2 linked regions of the Schizosaccharomyces pombe genome follow. The gene in region 2 interacts genetically with the main gene of each other region. Each region holds a gene or a part of one and is shown on either strand. Other genes may lie near its edges. The genes, in order: alp1 and tbc1.

What was found.
Region 1: mutations in tbc1 (region 2) and alp1 are lethal when combined (synthetic lethality), as found in Schizosaccharomyces pombe (one study listed by BioGRID).

The regions. Positions count from the first base shown.
Region 1 is NC_003423.3:3,352,546-3,358,935, forward strand, and holds alp1 (tubulin-specific chaperone cofactor D Alp1), read right to left. Parts: upstream 4,503-6,390; 5' UTR 4,181-4,502; coding exon 4,034-4,180; intron 3,990-4,033; coding exon 2,901-3,989; intron 2,857-2,900; coding exon 1,870-2,856; exon of another isoform or gene 1,831-1,869; coding exon 1,448-1,830; intron 1,400-1,447; coding exon 1,270-1,399; intron 1,224-1,269; coding exon 1,006-1,223; exon of another isoform or gene 964-1,005; coding exon 600-963; 3' UTR 501-599; downstream 1-500. Other genes in the region: protein Ndc80, read left to right, coding at 1-269; knh1 (KRE9-like protein), read left to right, coding at 5,234-6,088. UniProt on the Schizosaccharomyces pombe protein: Has a function in the folding of beta-tubulin. Microtubule-associated protein that is essential to direct polarized cell growth and to position the nucleus and septum to the center of the cell during mitosis.
Region 2 is NC_003424.3:3,491,841-3,496,482, forward strand, and holds tbc1 (tubulin specific chaperone cofactor C Tbc1), read right to left. Parts: upstream 2,733-4,642; 5' UTR 2,344-2,732; coding exon 2,313-2,343; exon of another isoform or gene 2,232-2,312; coding exon 1,666-2,231; exon of another isoform or gene 1,435-1,665; coding exon 1,252-1,434; 3' UTR 749-1,251; downstream 1-748. Other genes in the region: bsd1 (heavy metal ion homeostasis protein), read right to left, coding at 1-558, 627-644; odc1 (2-oxoadipate/2-oxoglutarate transporter), read left to right, coding at 2,870-2,935, 3,207-4,037.

The sequences.
Region 1 (6,390 bases), on a different chromosome or scaffold from region 2:
AATCGGATAAGTTAGAAAGAGAATTACAACAGCTCAAACTTTCTTCGCATAACAGCATGCTTCAATTAGACCAGCGTATACAAAGTATAAATATCGAAGCGGATCAAATTGCACATGCTTGCATGGAGTACAAAAACAATATATATAAAGAGGTTGCATTTGTGCTTGGTGAAATAATACATTTCAAGCTACACGTTCAAGACAGTTTGGAGGATTTGAAGATGGACTACCAAAAGGAATTGGATGACCTATCTCGTTCGGAACTGTAAATTCTATTCATCGTATTGTGCTGTCTACTATATTCACGGCTCATGAATACATTTTTTTATCACGATGGTGTTTTTGTGTTTTATGCTTTAATCTCTTACTTTTTAATTACAATTCTAATGAAGGTAATAATAATTCAACTCTCAATTTTCAAATGTAATTTTTATTGGTTGTGTTCCTTTTATGGACATCAATTTAGTACTACATAAGCACGAACTGTTTTGGCTAAAAATTTGAGATTATTCACCAGATATTTTATTGATTGCAGATTTTAACGTTTTTATACATCATATACACGACTATTTAAAAAGCTGAAAGTAGTTCAAAATTTATTATCGATCAGCTATCAGTTTATCTATTTGTTTCTGTATTATATTCCTTAGCTGTTTAACAAAAGTTGCGTTTTGAGATACTGGTACGAACCAATCCAAAGTCAGTAGTTTTTGGTTTAATTCATTAGGGAGGAAAGTTAGCAAACCAATTGACTTCGCATAGAGCAAAGTGTCGGCTGCTTGGTAGCGTACTTTTTCAATCGGGTTTAATAGTAGGTTTGCCGTATATTTTAAAGCATGATGCCTCAAAAGTTCATTTTTGGAAAGAAAAAGCGTCCGATATAACTCTAGTATCGCAGAAAGTCCCCCTGGTGATTTACAAGTAAGAGCCCTTCTCTGTACAATAAAAATCGCTTTTGACATGCTGATATCATTAGTATTTTGAACAAAATGTAAAAAAACATACCCCTTAACGTTTTGAAAGTCCGTGAAACAACCATATGCTAACAAAGATGTGAAAGATTTCATGATTGGAAAATAGAAACGAGCTATTTCATCCTCCGAAGAAAGTATGTCTATATAGAGTTGTAGAAGATCCCGTTTACCATAACGAGAGTTAGATTTTTTAAACGAATCTTCTAACTGGTAAACATAACTTAGATAAAATTCAAAACATTTAACTGCCTAGTAGAGTTAGTATATTAAGACATCGAAGCATATGATAACTTACTAAGTCACTGCCAAAACCATCGGCAGTAAATACTGTAATTCCGTAAAAAGCTTGAAGCCTTAAATTAGGTATTTCTAGCAGAGATATATTCAGTTCATTTAGTACCTCTCCATCCATATTTGGATTATTCCTGAAACTAGTGGTTAATAGCAGAATTTTAATTGAAAACTCATTTTACCTAATACGATTAATAATATTAGTCAAAGCTTCGCATCTTCTGATTAGGTAATGTACTCTGATTTGTTCGAGTGCTTGATATGCCAAACCCCTCAAACTATCAATTTTATCAAATGTTTGCCTTATAATATAGGAAATACAACACCAAACTATATCTTCACTTAATTTTTTTCCAGATGAATCTTTGACTAATAGACTGGAAATGGCCTTCATTGCAGGTTTGCGAATCCATGAGCCAACATCTCCTCGGGTATCTGTCAAATAATTGGAGCAAACCTGAAGTAATTCTTTGACAAATTCTTCAATGCTTTCTGTTTTTTCATAAGTAAAGGGAATAATATTTTGAAGCGCATTCGCAACAGGTGCTTGATAGTCTATTGAGTGCTGTTCATGTTAACATTGGTGAAAAAATTCTTTACTTACGAGTTGGGGATAAATATCCAATAAAAGCTTGCATATCTTTTTCTGGTATCGAAAACTTATATTCGGTAAATTCTGTAGAATAATGTATACAATTCTCGCTTCTTTACTTGTTGAGCATTTTCGTATATAGTCAAGAAGAACCTCCAATGTTTCTTCCATATCATCAAATTTAACAAGTACACTGTAAGCGTCACTGATGTCTTTTATGATTGTTTCCTCCTGTAAATCAATAGCAGCGATTATAACAGAAAATGCTTCACTGAAAAATGCTCTGTCAACACGAATATCATTGGCAAAAATTTGTTGAATTCCTTTTAAAATTCCCAAAATAATTTTTGTTTGCTGTTGCCTTGAAAATTTTTTTAAGGACAGTAGGTTTTTGTGCGACAGTAAATCATGGATACGATTTATATCGAACGGGAAGCTTATGGATAAAAATCCACCTATAATACTTGCCAATCCAATCGTATAGCCAAAAATAAAATCTGCATTACCAACAGACAAATAATCAAGTATGGGAGGAAGATAGATGCTTAGCTCTTTGGGATATTTAATAGAAAGTTGTCTTAGGGAAAAAGCAGAAAGCTGCTGTACCTTCACGTCCCAGTGCTGAAGGTTTGTAAATAGTCTTTGGAAAACACAGGAACGAAACTGAGGAAAATGAGCTACTTTCATACACAAGTCACCATAACAATTTGAAATATCCGTTACAGAAACATAGTTAATATGTGATATCAAAGAAAGCCCATCGGGAATAGAAGCGTGTCTGCCAATCACCTCAAATAAAGCAGCAGTTGCAGCTCTGCGCACATTTATTTCATTGTCAAACAATACCGTTTGTAAGAGACATAAAATAAGATTCGTTTGTAAGCCTTCAATTGCTGACTTAGAGTAGCAATGATAAAATGACCAAACAAAATAACAGGAGGCATCTCTGATGCTTTGTCCTGTTACTCTAGTTCCATATCTTACTTCGTATGATAAGCCCTAAATAAGGATTAGAATGATATAAGAAAACAAAGTGTACTTACTACTTCGATCAATGGAAGAATATGTAAACATTTACTATACTTAATTAAACCTGCACCTGCTAGTTTTGCGAAGAAAAGTATAGCTCCGTGCCAAACCAGTGGAGAAGTAATTGATATGTTTACAGTGTTTTCTATGGGGTTTAAAAACATATTTTCTGTCATCAATTCAATAATGGCATCGATAACTTGCTCAGCCAAATTCCAGGGCAAACGACTTATGATCTTGGCTAGCCCTTTGGCTGCAGACCAGCGTACAAAACTGTCTATGTCGCTTACAGATGACAATAAAAAATCAACAATAACCTCCAGATATATATGTACTTCTTCGTTAGAGTCATCAGGTAATTGAAAGAAACTATCTGGGTTACTGATCGAGTATTTCCAATTAGGGGATGAATTTACAGGCAGCAATACAATTCCCAATCTTGTATAACATTTGCATAATAATTTCCTCAACGCTGAATTTTCTTGTCCAACTAAATCTTCTCGTGCTACATTCAGAAACTGAAACGCAACATCAACTGTTTGAAGACAATCATTTCTCGGACAAATTTTAAGAAAAGAAGATAAGGAAAAAAGACACCCAATTTTGTAAAAGATACTTCTCTTAAACCAACTACTCTCACAGTGGTGTAGAAAGCCTAGAAGTAAATCCAAACCGTCATCACGAGAGAATAATCGGGACAAAACAAGACAAGAAGCTTCTTTGTCTATTCCCGAATTTTCTAAGTATTTAATTGCTATAGTGTAAATGGTCTTCTTCACATCCAAGGAATCATCTAATGAATTTAACGGGAATGGGGTATTGAGTGCTTGAGAAAGCCACAGTAAAACTATGTAGTGAAAATGCCAGGTATTATTTGATGATTCATTTAATAATGTATATAATTCCTTAATATATTGAACGCCAACAGGAAAGAGGACGCGAACAGCTTTATATCCTCTTATTTTACAAAACTGGTAAAGGATAACGGTAATTGAGTTACATTTTCCGATATTTTTCACTTTCAGTAAATAGCTAGCCAAGTTTGGAACGTATTTACTCAGTAGTTTATCGAGCAATGTCGGCTGAAATTGACAAAATTGCAACTAGAATTTTAATTAGAAAGGTCACAATATCTTTTTAAACATACATATTTAACAGCGACGTCTTTAAGTTTTTCCACAGAATGTGAAGAACTTCTATCGTCTAAAACATCATCGAGAATTTGCGATAAACGTGAGGTTATCAAAGACTCATCTATAGAAATAATTCCTTCTAAAGATTCTTCTTCTTCCATTTTTGTTTAAAATTTATGCTATGATTATTTTTGACTGTAACGACTTTAAGCAATTAACGCGTGTTGAATAAATTATGAAAAACGAATAAAGCGAAAAAATATGTTAATCTCCTTTCTTTTAGAATTTCTTTCGTCCTAAAAAAAAAACTTGGTCCCTAATTTTCTGTATTGCCTTGGACAATTTCCTCCTTTGTCACTCATGAGGTTGCAAATGATACCAATAAGAAAATAAAACAAGTTTGAATAATTTTAGACCTGTAAGATTTATTAACGATTAAATTTCACAAGCTTTGATATTGAAAAACATTATGAAAAGTGGGATAATAAAAAGGTAAATTATTGTGGTGGTGTAATCTGTACCCACTACTGATATTTCAAATCTCAAATCTAAACGTGAGCAGTTATTAAGAATGCTTTTGGAGCAACCACTGTGATATTTGTAAATGATATATTATTTCTGCGAATGAATTAGGAATACAGCCAGACAGTAAGCATATCTGGTAGTAAAGGGCCTATATATTGACAGCTCTAACGCAATTATTTCATAGAGTAGACATAATATTCACGACATAGATTCAGTAAGTTCGCATGTTATTCATTCTTTTGGTACAAGACTAGCATTTGATATTACAAATGTATAGCAGTATCGTTTAAATAGATCTTTACTTAAAGATTCTCAAACGTTACAATAATTTTCCCAAGATGTTGGCCTTTAAACTAGTCGGCATAAATTTACAGAGCAATTGTAAGTACTTGCTAAACTGAAGAGAATTTGAATTAGAGGTTTCAGGTTAAAACATATTCAGTGTTAACTATATCCAGCTTGTTCGTGATATATATTTTTGAGTTAAGCCGAAATTTATTGCATGAAATAAAAAATAAAAAAAAATAAAAAAATCACTTTTATTAGCTTACAATAAACCAACTTTTCTCGATTATTTGTTTACACATGTCAAATAAGGTGTTTCGATATACATCCCTGTTGTCAGAGCAACGATTTATATATATCGCTTACCACTAAATTTGCAAAGTCTCTTCAAGCCGTCGAATTTAATGAAAACCACCATGTTGATGCTAGTATTGCTAGTCTGCTCATACATACATTATGTATGTGCGCAAATTCGATTCGTCACTCCGGCGACAACAGATAGTATGGATTTTACCGCTATTTCGTTTTCATGGGAAGAATCTAATACGGGAATACCTCTTGAGGACATAACCAACACAGTTTTTTATATATGTAGTGGTAGCATGGATGCTCCTCAACCTTGTGCAGTCTTGTATACGTCCCCTAGTCCTTCTTCTATATCCCAAGCTGGACCCTTCGCTATTTCTCAGGTTTTTGGACCAGCTGGACGTCTTTACTTTCTTTGGGCACAATCTACATATGCTGGTGGTATAGTTAATGACTATACTGACTTTTTCACTGTTAATGGTCTAACAGGAACTTTTGATAATTACGAAATTTATGCGTCTTTGATGGCTCTTGGTGTGTATCCTTATGTTCCTACCCTTACTGGTTTTAGCACTTTTCTTGGTGTATGGCCTACAGGTACAATGCGAGATTGGTATCTATCTCAAACTACCGGTGTTCTCCGTACAGGACCTATTCAAAATCGACCAGATTCTACTTTTACTGCTGCTACGACCGACATACAACCGCTATGGGAAACTTCCTCTTATTCCGTATTTACCACGTTTGCAGGTCCTCCCATTGCCACCTCGACTGTCTTTGCATCTCCAACGTACATGTATACGTTGTATGCTAATTATGCTAGTACGGCCTCTAAGCCTACTATAATCGCAACTCCAACTGCTGGTTTAAGGAGACGAGACAGCTGGGCTCAAGCTGCTCCGAAACGTGGGATGCGTTTAGGTGAACACAAACGTGGGTTGTTATATTCCTAAATTGTTAATTTTTTTTAAGGCCAAAGCCTTTCATGTCATTTAGATTTTTCATTAGCACACTAGGATATTACTGTGTGCATTTTTGTCTGCTTCCTTTAGCTCAAATACATTGAGTCGTTCGTCAAAGAAAACAAAATATTTTGGTTATTTGTTATCTAAAGTCATGTTTTTTTTCATATTTACCATTATGCTGTTTCTGTGGAGTTAATTTCACGTAAAAGCATCTTCAAGTGCATGAGTTATTTCTTCATTCGTTCAATTTTTACTTTCCTTTCTCCCTTTTCATTCGTTCTTTTACATAT
Region 2 (4,642 bases):
ATAACGACCCAAATGAGTCGTCGATAAGACATATGTGACAAGAAATCCTACAAAAGGAAAGAGAATAGCGACACAAGCACTCCATACAAAGGAGAAACCAGTTCCAACGGACATCCCATCAATGTAAATCTCGTTAGATCCGTAATCTGGAATTACCATAGTGGTATCCCAGTAAGGAGGGGCGGTATCCGCAGCAGCCTGTTCATAAGAAGGGGGCTCCTCTTCCAGTTCTTCAGTATTAGATTCCACTGTGGGTTTAGCAGATAAATTAGAGAAGACACTATCAACGTGATGGCCATCTGCATGATTTGATGAAGTGCTGGGAATTCGATCATTGCTACTACGTACATGCCCAGAGTCGTTGCCAGGATCCGGCGTTGATAAATGTTGGTAAAAAGCTTCTTCTCCTTCTATTGATGCTCTGGCAGAGCTATATAAAGGTGCTGTTTCACTGTATTCCACATCGTCGTCTGGAGGCTCGAAAGCAGCTGCCAATTCCGATCGATTTGTAGACCGGTTTTCCGGAAATTCAGGTATTGGAGTATGAATTGAATTTTGCTAAAATAGATTTGTTAGACTGATATATCAGGGAATTTAAACAGTATAAAAAGAAGGCTTATCCTTACATTTGAATTAGTACTCATGGGAATTGTGATATCTTTCAACCCGTATATAATGAGGTAAAGTGATTAATGAACGTTCCCAAAAATTTCCGTATTTTTGTTTTTTAACCCACTAAATGCTCTTTGATTTTAAATTAACAGAGTGGTGGAAGAGTACAGGATGGATCGAAACCATGGTATTATTAATGATCGTTACTTGCAAGTAACAACTATATTCAAAATCTGTAGAGAAATCAGATTAAAAAAAAAATATGGGAATTGAGTGTTTTAGGTGACATATCAGAAGCTAAATTCCCGTTATAAATTATTTTTGATATCTATTCTTTTCAATAAACCAAACAAGCCAATTGAAATCAATGGCTTGGGTTATAACAATTAGTGATCAGATATGTATTCCGACAAGAAGTGGTATAAAAAGTCGAAAATGAGAAACAAGGAATCTCAAAGGATTTACTGATATAATCGACTTGGTGGTAAGATGGATGGATGACATGAATGATTAGAAAGGCGTACGAAAGAATATTAAATTAAAAAAAAAAAGCACCAACGAGTGTATGTCAGTAAAAGACCAAGCTAAACCGTTACGTATTTTTACTAATGGATGATTTTGGTGCATACATATAGAATTTTAAGCGTCAAAAAGGTCACTAGTGATACGAAAATGTGGAGACGGGTCAGAGCGTGCCCAAGTAAAATCCAAAATAGGATGCTCATCTTTATAAGAAAAGGATATCTCCTTTGATTCTTCAATGACGGGCGATGTTTTGCATCGCAGGTGCACACGAAGGTTGGTAGAATGGTGAAGACGAAACTAGAAGGCGTTAGCGATATAATCAATCAAAAGAAGGGCCAGAAGGCAAAGTAAAATCAAACAGTAGAAAGCATTATCAATTTTGTTTACACAGCATTGTTGTGATCCATACTAAGAATATGGGATCTAAATATTGACAACCTAATATAATGATAGCAGTCTCTACGTCTAACTAATAGTTTCCATCAAAACCATCGTCTAGATGCCTTCAAATTTATCAAAAAAACTTACTTGGTGACACGATACACAGATTGTTGAGTCGTTAATATCAGAAAGATGGATAGAACCCTGAATGGTTGGGAAAGTAAAGTTGCATTTTGTAGCGTTATGTAAGTTCACAGATGAGCAGTTGGATATGGAAATATTGCATGATCGTAAACTTTTTGCGGAAACTTTGACAGCTTTGTTGTTAGGATATGGAATGACATTATCTCCAATGTTTTGGTTTTTCAAATTTGCCAAGTACAGGGTGTCATTTTCAAAATAAACTTCTGGAGCTTCAGCATTAACTGTAATATTTTTTACCGGTTTCTGGGACGATTTGACGTGCAGTGCCCGTTGAAAGCGAAATGGCTGTCTGGGCAAAATGTCGTGTCGAATTTGCTGAAGCCTTCGTGTCAAATCTACTAGTTGTTCCATGCATACTCTCCTGTCATATGGTGCAATTTGGTCTTGAACTTCATTTAGCTCCCTCGTCATTTCACCTAAATATTTTGACTTTTCTTCAAGCCAAGTCTCTTTTTCGGAGCGAGAAGTCTGCTCACTAGGAGTGGATTTATATAATTTGGTAAGAAATTCTACAAAAAAGTAGTTAGTAAATAGCACAACAAACAGACCTTTCGATATGAACGAAATTGCAGATGTAAATAAACCCATACCTTTTCTCAATTCGACGAACTTTTCAGACATTTTTCCTTTTAAATTAGAACTAAAACACCCGTTATATATGCAAAATTAAATCACAGTACGTTATGCTGTGTTCAATGATCATTCAATAAACATATATTTTTTCAATTTTAACCTGCACCAAAAGTCATTCAAACAGCTCGGGAAAAAAAGGATTCTTAAATAAATTCATCAAATCAGTATTAGTTTTAATCTTAACTTCGATACTTCGGGTGCAAAAATTATTATGAATTTTTAAAATTGAAACCAAAAATCCAACTCTTCAAAGGCGAAGTACAGAAGACAGTGCCTTGAAATGAAAATTATCTTCACTCAACTCAAAATGACTTTAAGATTTGGAAATAAACGAAGTTTTGTCGATTTTATCGTTATGAATATTTTTAGCGGCTCTTATCTTTTATCATTGAGAATCATCTTAAATTTACCTGTATGTGAGCTCAACAGATGTTTGCCTTCCATTCCTTAACAACAACGCCCAGCAGCATTTGTTAAGTGTGAAAATTGAAGTTTAACTACTATATTATCGAAAATGCCTCATGATAATATTCCATTTCCTGTTACATTTGCTGCCGGCGCAGTTGCTGGAATCTCAGAGGTAAGGTTTTTTATTTGGAGCACTTTATTTCATTGAAAGATACGTTTGAAGGCTTTCGGAGAAGAATGTTATTATCTTCAAAATGCTCAATGAATTGCGTAAGGTAAAAGAGCTGTCTTGGAGATGAAGGAAAGCAAACGTTTGATTCCGTAGATGCTGAACGAATTACTTCTTTATAAGTTTTATCCCATGTTTTTTAAATCTCTCTTTACCTCTCTTTTACCATTAAAACCTTTAACATGGCCTTGTTTACTAACTCTTTCTTTTTCAGGTCCTAACTTTGTATCCTTTGGATGTTGTTAAAACTCGTATGCAACTGTCCGTTGGTAAATCAGACTACAATGGAACCTTTGATTGTCTCAAAAAGATCGTCAAGAATGAGGGTCCACATCGTTTGTATCGTGGAATTTTACCTCCAATCTTGATGGAGGCTCCTAAGCGTGCATTAAAATTTGCTTCCAACGATACTTATTCAAAGCTGTGGCGTAAAGTCTTCAAGAGAAAGGATTCAAGTCCTGCACTTTCTATCCTCACTGGATCATGTGCAGGATTTACTGAAACGTTCGTAGTCGTACCTTTCGAACTGATGAAAATTCGTTTGCAAGACGTTAAGAATGCTTCTAAGTATAACGGAACTGTCGACTGCTTTACTAAAATTGTAAAGCAAGAGAGAATTTTAGCTCTTTACAATGGGTTTGAAGCCACTATGTGGCGCCATGTCGTTTGGAATGCTGGATATTTTGGTGTAATTCAAAAGATTCGGAATTCATTGACGCCTGCCTCGAGCAGAATTGGTGAAATCCGTAATAACCTTATTGCTGGAACTATCGGAGGAATATTTGGTACATTCCTCAGCACTCCCTTTGACGTTATCAAGTCGCGTATTCAGACAGTTCCTCGTATTGCCGGCCAAGTTCCAAAATATAACTGGGCCTATCCAGCTCTAGTTACAGTCGCAAGGGAAGAGGGTTTTACAGCCCTGTATAAAGGTTTTGTCCCTAAAGTACTCCGTCTGGGCCCTGGTGGTGGTATTCTTTTGGTTGTTTTTAATTCTGTCATAGAGTTTTACAAGAGATGTCTTGTACATAACGCCTCTGCTTAGAGATCAAGGTTTTTTTTGTTTTTCTCTCCCCCTTTTTTTGGTTCCTAAAAAAATTTTTTTCATTGCCGGGTCTTCAGTAAAGGTTGAAAGAAAAAAGTTTCCTACGACTTGAATTCGTGGGCTCTTTTATCGTATTTAGCAATCGCTAAATACGTGTATATTTGTTATCAAAAGTTTTTTGGCTTAATTTTCTCTTTTTTTTGTTTACATTGCATGTATATATTTTCCATCCCTGTTAATCATTTCGATGCTGTGTTAATCGTTAAATTTAGCAAGTCTTTCATGATTGAAGAGTACATATTGATTTAAACATTGACCTTCGAAAAACCGTTGTGTTTTTCTCTTAGATTTGCGATCATTAGTATAAGTAATTATACAACGCAATCTGTTTCAACACTTTTTAGAATTTTTGTTATATGTCTTCATTCCTTCAAATGAAAAAACTCAATCAAGCATCCCAGCCATTTCGGTATATTTATAATATTATATTCTACGTGATTACTACAGTCGTTATTTTTAAGGTGTGAAAAACAAAATCATAGATAATGAAATACATTTATTAAATGGACTATCCAGTTGAAGACCCAGTAGTATTTTTTCGTAGC